Cricetulus griseus: one gene and its partners. The main gene of each other region encodes a partner of the protein of the gene in region 3 in a complex. Links are inferred from orthologs where the notes say so. Each region holds a gene or a part of one and is shown on either strand. Other genes may lie near its edges.

Region 1 (2,782 bases), on a different chromosome or scaffold from region 3:
AGAATAGAGCAGATCTCCAGGGAGTGGGTAGAGCCGCAGCACCCCCACCCCACCCCCTTTCGGGTTTGAGAGGAAATACTGCTCAATTACTGACCTGCCTCTCTCTGGCCATGTGACCCACGCTGGTGTAACAGTTTCCCACCAACCAGGTTCCTTACAGTTTTGGACTCCCCCGCCCTTTTCTGCTAGGGCTGCAGCAATTGCTAAAAGTCCGTTGGCCTCTTGCGCCAGGAACCCCACGAGGAGCCCTCTATCAGCAGCCAGGCCAGGCCAGCCAGTTTACCGTGTGCAGTCAGTCAGGGGAAAAGCAGAGCTGGGGCTTGCATTTGAGGAGCAGGTGTCGGGTAAGGCAGAGGCTGGAGGATGGCTGTCGAAACAAGAAAGTAATGACCCAGATGTTGAGGGTGGGCGGGGAGACGGGGAGGAACCTCGGACCTGGGAATGAAGAAGGAATGATGGAGAGAATTTGAGTTAGCAAAGGTTACCAACCAAGTGAGAACCTGGGTAGAGGTGGAGTTCTGTTTCCAGCTAAAAACACCAGGCTCAGGAGACGCTTGCGCTCTCTCTGGGCTTCGGTGAATGTGTGTCTGAAATCTGGGAGGAACAGGCCACAAAGCAAGGTGCTGGCTAAGTCTTCCTCTTTGGCTACCCTAGCTTCCCCCTTTTTGGTAGGATCCCCAGCACTGGTGCAGAGGAGAACCAGGTGAAAGAGACCTTCAAGTCGGCCCAAGGAGGTAAGGTGCTGAGGCGGGGTGGGGTGGGGTGGGCACCTGGAGCTGAGGAGAGCCAGCCCAGGGTTGGCAGGGCATGCCTTCTGGAAGTTTCTCCCCCCCCTCAAGACACACCTCCCGTCCTTTCCTAGTTTCTATGCCTGCCTCCTTCTCCCACCAGGCTTTGCCACCAGGCTTTGGCTCTCAGCCACAGCCAGCTGTGAGAAAGGGACCTGACCACAGCTACTTCCTATTATCTGTGACGCTAAATAGGAAAAGGGCCGCGGAAAGCGGAGGGGGAATTCCCGTGGGAAGTCGAGTTGGTCTCCCCCAGAGACACAGGATGGCAAACGTAATAACTGCGGCTTAATATCCCGCCCAAGGCTAAGTCAATAATTGCTCTGGGCAGTTCTGGCAGGTGGCTCTGGCAAGCCGTGGTGAGGCGCAGACAGCTTTGGCCTGGGGACCAAAGAGGATGTGAGCAAGTCCGAGCCAGACAGAGGAAGGAGCTTCTGCAGGCTGCGAGTGAAGGTGGGCAGTTCCTGACCCCTTTCCCATCCTCTTCCAGGATGACCCCAGACTGGCACAGCTCCTTGATTCTCACCGCCTACATTCTCATCTTTCTCACTGGGCTCCCTGCCAACCTGCTGGCCCTGCGGGCCTTCGTGAGCCGGGTCCGCCAGCCCCAGCCGGCTCCCGTGCACATCCTCCTGCTTAATCTGACCCTGGCCGACTTGCTCCTGTTGCTGCTGCTGCCCTTCCGCATTGTGGAAGCGGCGTCTAACTTTCGCTGGTACCTGCCAAAGATCGTGTGCGCGCTCACAGGCTTCGGCTTCTACAGCAGCATCTACTGCAGCACGTGGCTGCTGGCCGGCATCAGCGTGGAGCGGTACCTGGGAGTGGCCTTCCCCGTGCAGTACAAGCTCTCCCGCCGGCCCCTGTATGGCGTGATTGCTGCCCTGGTGGCCTGGATCATGTCCTTCGGCCACTGTACCATCGTCATCATCGTACAGTACCTGAACTCAACCGAGCCGGTGGGCGACGGCAACCAAGTAACGTGCTATGAGAATTTCACCCAAAAGCAGCTGGATATAGTGCTGCCTGTGCGGCTGGAGCTGTGCCTGGTCCTCTTCTTCGTCCCCATGGCAGTCACCGTCTTCTGCTACTGGCGCTTCGTGTGGATTATGCTCACGCAGCCCCACGTAGGGGTTCAGAGGAGACGCCGGGCAGTAGGCCTGGCTGTGGTGACGCTTCTTAACTTTCTGGTGTGCTTCGGACCTTACAACTTGTCCCACCTGGTGGGGTTCTACTTGCGGCAGAGCCCCCCGTGGCGGGTGGAGGCTGTGGTGTTCAGCTCCCTCAATGCCAGCCTGGACCCGCTGCTCTTCTATTTCTCCTCCTCCGTGGTGCGCAGAGCGTTCGGGAAAGGTTGGCTACTGTTGCGCAACCCCGGCTCCTCGCTGCTGGCCAGAGGAGCTAAAGAGACCGTGGAGGGGACCAGGATGGACAGGGGTGGGAGTCAAACAGAGGTGGTGCCCAGCTCTGATTTCGTCACTGAGTAGAGAGAGTTGGGCCTCATCTTCCTTAGCCTCCGGGTCACCCAGAATTCTGTTGGGCTGGCTAGCAGAACACCTGGAACTCGGTGGAAGATTAAAAAAATAAAATAAACAAGAAACCCCGCCCCGCCACCCTCTTCAGCTTGCATAACTGCTTGGCTGGATTTTCCTGCTCCAGGATACGAGAAGAAATGGCTACAGCCCTAAAAGACGGTGGGGCCAGGGTCTCAGAAGCAAGGTGGCTAACAGGAGGGCAGTTTTATAAGCAATCGTCCTTCGAGCTTGGAAGCACCGCCCAGAGACAGTGGTCTGGCTGGCCACGCTGCACAGAAGCCTATGGAAAAAGATTGGGGGGGAAGCTGTAGGAAGAAAAGAAACCCCAGAAAGGCTCCTCTGAGCCGCCACGGGTGGGACTAGTAGGAAGGACAGGGGCTCCGATCTCTGGTGAGCTTGGTCTCTCTATAGGCGTTTGAGCTGTCCCTTTGTAATGAGCTCTGTTGATTGTCACATGGTGGC
Region 2 (3,226 bases), on a different chromosome or scaffold from region 3:
GCTTTTTGTGAGCAGTGGTCCACAAGTGCTGCCCTGGTTATGGGGGGAAGAGGGTGACGCTTTCAGTTACTCGGTCATTCCTAGCACTTCCTGCTTTTCAGATCCACCTCTTGTCAATCATGCCTGTCACTTCTGCTGGCAGTGGGCAGTAGTATATTAACACTTTAGTTACATCCTGTTTTTTATCCCACAAAATATTCCTTAAACAGTTGTCTCAGAACAAAACAGACATACAGATAAAAACTAGGGAGGTAAAATCTAAATTTGAAAGAGATGTAAATTAAGACATATGTTCCCTATATTACAGTATTAACATTTTTTTTACACTGGTAATGTATAGTGGAATCAGCCTTTTATCTCTTGCCAAACTATTGGCAGAAATTGTAATGGTTGTGTTCTCAGGAACACAGAACAACTCTTTGCCTCGAGACTTATCAAGACAGCCTTCTTTAAACACACAGCATCTCATTTATGAAGTAGAACTTGCTTTTGCCGTTCTCTTGAGCTGGTCCGGATCTCAGTGCATCAGGTGGGGGGGTGGGGGGGTGGGGGTCGTGCCAAGAGGGGGCACCTGAGAGGAATCCTTGTTGGGAACTGAACAGTGGGTCTGCAGAGCCACCAAGCGGGTTGCTGTGCTGTGAAGTCCGGTGCCGCGATCTTTCACCTTCCATTGGAAGCCTTGGAGTGAATCATCACCTGGGACTCCGTCATTTCTCGCGAGTTTTCTTCAGGGGCTGACCTCACGGCACTGGAGAGGGACACGCTGACCTGCCGTTTCAGCATCTTCATGACCTTCCTCTTGTACCCTTTGCACGCAAACAAGTATATGAAAGGATCCATGCAGCAGTTGAAGTTCATGAGGCACACTGTGACGTGCAGAGAGACCTGGAAGGAGTGCCTCGGGCCGCACGCCAGGGCACCGCGGGAGCACAGCTTCTTAACCATGTGTTGGATGATGGATATGTGGTAAGGTGTGAAGCAGAGAATGAACACAACAATGATGAGGATAATGGTGTTGAGAGCCTTTCTGTTCACACCAGACTTGTCAGTCAGTGGGTTTTGTTTGGCCGTCTTGAAGAGCTTGCAGCAGATCCGCGAGTAGCAGACGAGAATGACTGTGAGGGGCAGCGCGTAGCCAAGCAGGCATGCTCCAAGGAGAATCCAGGGGAGGGAAGCTGTCTCTTCGAAGTTCGGGTACTCCATGCAGGTCGTCCTGCTGGCCTCCTGCTTTGACATAGGTCTGATGAGCAGAGGCAGGGTTTGAGCAAATACTAGAATCCAGACAGATATGCAAACGCCCTTTGCGTATTCGATCCTTTTAATCTTGTTGTAGCGCAGAGGGTGCACCACGGCAAAGAAGCGGTCTACGCTCAGGCAGGTCATGAAGTTGACGCCGGCATACGTGTTTATGTAGAACAGCAGGGCAGTTATCCGGCACAGGGCATCACCGACCCTCCAGTCAAAACCCAGCGCATAGTAGGCTATCCGAGTGGGTAAAGCTGTGGTAAACAGGATGTCGGAAATCACCAAGTTCATTGAATAGAGAGTGGTTGAGTTGATTTTCTTTCTGTTTTGAACAATGACAACCAAGGCCAACAGGTTTCCCACCAGACCAATGATGAAGACGAGGCTGTAGTGCAAAGGCATTAATATCCTGGCTGTGTTGTGGTGTGCATAGAGGTCACAGTTGTTGCCCTGAGAAGTTGCCAGGGCCGTAGTAAAATTGCTAGCCATTTCTGTATCCAGCAGGGGTCAGAGTCACTAGGAAGAAATCAAGTAGGGACTGTTTAGCTAAAACTATTTAACTCAGCTACTCAGTCATTTATACGTCTACTTTAAAATTTTTCAGCATGTAAATCTCAACTGGAATAAACTGAGGAAAAAAATTTTGTGTTTACTTTCACAGTTAGTGGCTTTGTCAAAACCCTGGCAAAGGAAACAGAACCATCTAAATAGGTCAACTGCATTTTTTTTTTTAAGAGAAGTACACTAACTTTAGGCAGAAATCCCCCCTTTTCTGAATCACTGTGTGGTTAAGAATAAAATCATGTAAAGTACCCACATTTTAGACAGGCATTAAACTTGCCTTTTAGGTTGAATTTAGGTTGAGCTTTTCTTCTTCTTCTTCTTCTTCTTCCAAAATTCGTATCACTGCCAGGAAATGAAATCAGTGGCACATGGAGTGGAGTATGAACTCACCACAGTATCTGATTTGTGTGAGCCTGACGAGTGTGAGAAATAATCTTGGGCTCTGTAGGAACTGAAAGTTACTCTTTCTTAAGAAAGAAAATGAAAAACAAATAGTGCTCATAACTAAAATGAAAAAGAAGAAGAAAGACAAACGTAGTTGTGCGTAGCTGTGATGCAGCTACTCTGGAGACTGATGAGTTTGAGGGCAGCTGGGCATCTCTGTGAGACCCTTTCTCAAAATGAAAAGCAAAAGTCAAGTTTAAAGGGGCTGTGGGTGCAGCTCAGCAGTAGTTGTCCCTTCTTTCAGGAGTGTGATTGGTGGGGGGTGGGGGGGGACTCAAGCAGCTTCAGATAAGAAATTTTAAATTGGGCGTCCAGTGTGTGTTGAACCCAGTAAGAGTAACATCTCCTTAGCAGTGTATAGTCACCTGTTTTTCCATGTCTGGGTTTCATGGGGCATCTGATGGTTACGCCACAGTTTTCCAAAGTGTTGATTCGGTATTCTTCAGTTTCCCAATGTACTAATGCAGTTTAGCTAGCTACTCCTTCGGCACACATTTGAGTTGTTTAAATTTTTTCCTTGGTCATGAATTTAGGATCAAGGAAATTTCAAGTGCTAAATTGGAAATCTAAGAATTATGGCAGTAAAATTCCATATAAAAGAGTGAGCAGCAGTAAACATGGAAAAGCTGAGCAATAAGTACCATGATGACACTTTAAAAAAAAAAAAAAAAAAAACACAAGGCAGTCACCAGAATTAAGGGAATCTTTGACACGTCTGTTTTGCTGCTGCTGTTTTAAAGAGAAGCCCTCTGTCAAGACTGACAGAGAGCACTGGCTCCAGACCGGCTCCTGTGCCTATGCTGCTTGGTGCCCTGGGTCTCTGTCCCCTCTGCCAGCCTGAGAAGAGGGGTGTCTACTGGCCCTGAGCTCTGCTGTGGTGTGTGGTGTTGGGAAGCCTACAAGTAAAACCTAAAGCAGAACCCAACAGTGGGACGAAGCACCTTGTCTCACAAGACCAGAGAAGAAGCTGACA
Region 3 (3,944 bases):
GCTAATGTATACAGTCATTTGTGCAAGACTCTTAACTGATTCAAATGCTACGGGATTAAAAAGAAAAGTGAAAGACTAAATGAACCAAACTCCAACCTGATCCCCTTCAGGTCAGTAGACCAGACTTGGTTCTCCCTATTTGCTTAAGCCTAATTCACTGTATTTAAGGAACAGTGGAATACCTATAATTTATATAGTAAATATTAGACATCCAGCACTCAAATAATTACTAATCATTTCCAAATCTCATTCAAAACTCTAACTTCAGATGTTTTAAACAGTGTATTCTTCCATGAAAAAAAAATGAAATGTAACCAGACAGACAGACTATTAAATTTTTTTATGCTTTAAGTATTTAAAGTAAATTGTTGGGGAAAAATCCCTCTAAAAAAATTGAAGTGGCATTGGTTACAGGTTACCTAGATACATTTTACATCTCTCTTAACCAGCTTCCACATGTTAGATGTTAGATGAGCAATGCCATGGAGCTACTTGCACAAAGCCTGAAATATCCAAAGTGGATCAAAGGTCAGAATTCACTACTTAATTCTGATGGGGGCAAGCAGGGGAAGATATATCAAGTATTATAAGAAATAAGAGTTGTGAAATAAGTACACCAGATTTGTTGTTGTTGTTGTTGTTTAATAGGGACTAGTGTGTCAGAAGTCTTGGTAAAGTCTAGAAGTAGAAGGGTAGAAGTGAGCGAGAAGAAAGGGATGCACTGGAATTGTAGAGAGAAGAGACAGTTGTGGGGGAAAGCAAATACTCAAAGCTAGAAACAACACTTAAGGAACCGATTTGCCTTTTGTTTGTCTGTTTGTTTTTATCATTTTCGAATACCTCTAATGCATTGGTTTGGAGGAATAAGAATGGCATAGTTTCTGAAAATCGGGACTCTGGTACATTTCTCATTACCTCTCTATAGAGGATTAGAGAGATCAACCGTCTATGTTACACACTCAACTCTGTGGTTCTCAGCCACATCTCACTCTGCATGTCTGCCTCCAGGGGGCGTGTGGGAGCAGGGTGGGAGATTAGAACCGTGGGGAAGCCATTAGCATCTAATGGTAGGAAGGCAACAACATTGCTTGACAGCCTACAGCACACAGTACACCCGGAACGACCAAGAATTATCAAGCTCAAAATGTCAACAATGCTAAGAAGAGATACCATGCTCTCTGAACCCTGAAGAAGCAAAAATCCGACTTCGCAAACCTTTCATAGCTGTCTACTTAAAGATAAGCCACACCAAAGGGAGCTCATTTACAACTGCTTTCAATATGGTGGATAGCAGCTCCAACGAAGAACTACACTGCAGTCCACTAAGATATTCAGAGCAGGTGCACTGAAACCACAGGAAAAGAATCCTCTAATTATTTTATTTCATGTTTATTCTAAGTCACCCAACGGGGCTCTCTACATGGTTCGGTATCAAGTTGTCTTTCTTCTGTGGTCAATATTCTTAAAAACACACTGACCTTATGAAAACACAGTATCTTTTTAATACAAAAACTCAGGTCAATCCTATTTACAGAGAAAGATTTATGGGGGAGGCTGTGGAGGGTGAAAAAATACCACCCAGCTCTTTAAAATGCTAAGTTATTTCACAGTTTGCTTGCAAAATGACTCAGATCGTTATTACTTTTAGTCATGCCAAGTTTGCTTCTTCTAAGCCTACTAGTAAAGGAGAAAGAAGGAGATAACCACCATGTTCCTGCAGTCGTTAAACCAATGAAACAGGAGCTTACTAAAAAGCAGATTTGTGCCTTACTGTCTCTCTTCTATCACAACTATTAGAAAAAGACAAGCCATCGCTGGAAGTGCAAACAAAGATTCTAAGAAATCTGTCATCTACCTAAATACCTAGAGTGTGGGAGGAAAACAAACAAAAGGAAAGCCTGATTCACAAATCTGAAAGTCATAACCTGTGAATATTTTCCTAATATATCACTCAATCAAAATCCAGATTTACTCCTTTTCTCCCGTTCAAAAAAAAAAAAAAAATTGGAAGAAAGACCTCCACATCAGCGTTCAGCAAAACAGTGTTAAGAATGACTAAAAAAGCCTGCCTTGCTCCTGTCAACCCTCCCTGGAGCAAGCGCTGCGGTTAAGAGAGGACCCCGGAGGGGAGGATGAGCCCCTCACACCTGTCAGGGCTGTTTGCACCCGCGAAGCATCTTCGGCTCCTACTATGGGAGCCAACGTAAGCCAACTTTGGTAGTTTCCATCCCCCACCCAGGCAAAACCCAGTATCCAGAGCAGCTCTTGTCCTTGCGCAGGAGAATCTGCTGGGCGCTCTTTGCCACTCAGTGAGTGGACATATGAAGTTGACAGGCGAGACCACTGAGACCCCACAGAGGCCACACAAAAGGCTCCCCGAGGCCACCCAAGAAGGCACTTTGCCGGCGTGGGCAAAGGCCAGCGCGGCACGACACCTCGCACCGCGGGGTGTCTGTGGAGAGGGGGCGCCTGGCTTTCGGGTTCCCAATCGTCCCTCATCTAGGGAAGGCGGACCTCAACTTCACAGACAGGGTTCCCACGCCTTCCGCCGCCCAGCCACGCTCTGGGCTGCCCGTGGGGTCGCGCGACCATCACCGCCGTGGCCGAGCAGCAGCCTGCGCTGCGCAGGGGCTGGGATGCTGCGCTCGCTCCCCGCTGTCCCCCGGCCCGGGCCCCGTCCCCGGGGCGCCGCTCACCCAGCAGCAGCAGCTTGACCTCCCGCGCCGCCTTCTCCCCGTCCTCCCGGAGGTTGCGGTCGATCATCTTGCTGCGCTCCACGGCCGCCTTATCCTCGGCGCTCAGGGTGCAGCCCATGGTGGCCGAGCGTCGCCGCGCCCTCGGCGCCGGGGCCGGCTGGCAGCGCGGGGAGACGCTGGCCCGGAGGCGGCCCTGCTATGTTCTCAGCTCCCGCGAGCCGGAGGCGAGGTCTGCGAGCCCGCACGCCGCCGCCTCGGGCGGCCGTCCCCGCCGGCCACGCTCCGGGATCCGCACCTGCCGCCGCCGCTGCCGCCGCCGCCGCCGCCGCTGCCGGTGCTGGCCGAGCCGCAGCAGCTCCCAGCCCGGGCGAGCTCCGCGTCCGCGCGCCGCCGCGGCCCCGCCCCTGCCCGCCCCGCGACCACTCCCAGTGCGCGCACCCGCCCGCCCGCCGGGCCTCCCGCGCACGTGCCCTCGGACAGCGCCCCCTCCGACGGCCGCGCGCCCGCGTGATCGCCGCCCCGGGTGCTCCCTGCGCGTGCCCCCGAGGTCTCCCCCCCCCCAACCCCTCAGCGCGCGCTCGCTTGCACGCCTCTTCAGCCAGAGTCCAGTGCCATCCCCATTTCCCCTTCTTGAGACCCCACTGCGGGCATCAGTGCATACCTGTCCCTTAGGGGTGTGGGTGGGACGGTTGCCAAAGTTGCCAGCGAGAAGGGAAAGGCAGTCCAGGGCATTTGAGCATGCCCGGCGCCTGCAGCCAAGCAGGGGTTTGCAAAATGTGTGGGCTTGTGTGAAGAAGCGTGGGAAACAGAGCGAAATGAGCACGGGGCCTTGGACAACCCGAGGTGGGGACCATCAGTAACCAAGCAGGAATCGTGGAGGGGGAAGTCTTGGCTCTATCCATGTGCACTTCCTCCCTACCACTTCCTTATTTTCCTCTAGCTTTCCCTTTGATCTGTGCTCTCCTTCCTTTTCATGAGGGAATGTATTTGGAAGGATTTCTTCCTAACCCGAGAAAACGTTTGACAAAGAACGAAAGAATGTGTTTTTATAAAGAAAGCGCAATAGACACATGAACAAGTCTCTGTGGTAATGGATGCCTTTAGGGCTCGTGTAAGTTCCTAGCCAAGCTGTGTTTGCGACCCTGTGATGACTCCTGTGCCAGTGGGCATGTCTTTCCTTTCTGCAGGCCTTAGCTTCCTTGCTGGTAAATGAGCAGTTGTTAAACACTAGAGTCCATCCTTCCATGC

The links.
Region 1: the proteins of Gnai1 (region 3) and Ffar2 are in contact, whole or in part, in a cryo-EM structure (PDB 9NS9), measured with the Homo sapiens proteins. The link is inferred for Cricetulus griseus from reciprocal best matches to the Homo sapiens genes GNAI1 and FFAR2. Residues at the interface, in NP_002060.4 of Homo sapiens: Glu28, Ala31, Arg32, Glu33, Val34, Asp193, Leu194, Phe336, Thr340, Asp341, Ile343, Ile344, Lys345, Asn347, Leu348, Asp350, Cys351, Gly352, Leu353, Phe354; in NP_001357016.1 of Homo sapiens: Gln40, Ala42, Val44, His45, Glu106, Arg107, Gly110, Val111, Pro114, Val115, Tyr117, Lys118, Leu119, Ser120, Arg121, Arg122, Phe202, Met206, Gln209, Pro210, Leu211, Val212, Arg216, Arg219, Ala220, Leu223, Ala224, Phe273, Ser276, Ser277.
Region 2: the proteins of Gnai1 (region 3) and Gpr183 are in contact, whole or in part, in a cryo-EM structure (PDB 7TUZ), measured with the Homo sapiens proteins. The link is inferred for Cricetulus griseus from reciprocal best matches to the Homo sapiens genes GNAI1 and GPR183. Residues at the interface, in NP_002060.4 of Homo sapiens: Arg24, Glu28, Arg32, Glu318, Tyr320, Phe334, Asp337, Ala338, Thr340, Asp341, Ile344, Asn347, Leu348, Asp350, Cys351, Gly352, Leu353, Phe354; in NP_004942.1 of Homo sapiens: Asn64, Thr66, Arg129, Ala132, Val133, Pro136, Leu137, Asn140, Lys141, Arg144, Ile219, Lys222, Leu223, Thr226, Asn230, Pro231, Leu232, Thr233, Ser236, Val238, Lys241, Ala242, Thr245, Ile246, Ile249, Ala311, Cys312, Lys313.

The regions. Positions count from the first base shown.
Region 1 is NC_048602.1:4,970,109-4,972,890, forward strand, and holds Ffar2 (free fatty acid receptor 2), read left to right. Parts: upstream 1-1,279; coding exon 1,280-2,272; downstream 2,273-2,782. UniProt on the Homo sapiens protein: G protein-coupled receptor that is activated by a major product of dietary fiber digestion, the short chain fatty acids (SCFAs), and that plays a role in the regulation of whole-body energy homeostasis and in intestinal immunity.
Region 2 is NW_023276807.1:271,866,187-271,869,412, forward strand, and holds Gpr183 (G-protein coupled receptor 183), read right to left. Parts: upstream 1,759-3,226; 5' UTR 1,735-1,758; coding exon 661-1,734; 3' UTR 511-660; downstream 1-510. UniProt on the Homo sapiens protein: G-protein coupled receptor expressed in lymphocytes that acts as a chemotactic receptor for B-cells, T-cells, splenic dendritic cells, monocytes/macrophages and astrocytes.
Region 3 is NW_023276806.1:175,872,801-175,876,744, reverse strand, and holds the start of Gnai1 (guanine nucleotide-binding protein G(i) subunit alpha-1), read right to left. Parts: upstream 2,815-3,944; coding exon 2,697-2,814; intron 1-2,696. UniProt on the Homo sapiens protein: Guanine nucleotide-binding proteins (G proteins) function as transducers downstream of G protein-coupled receptors (GPCRs) in numerous signaling cascades.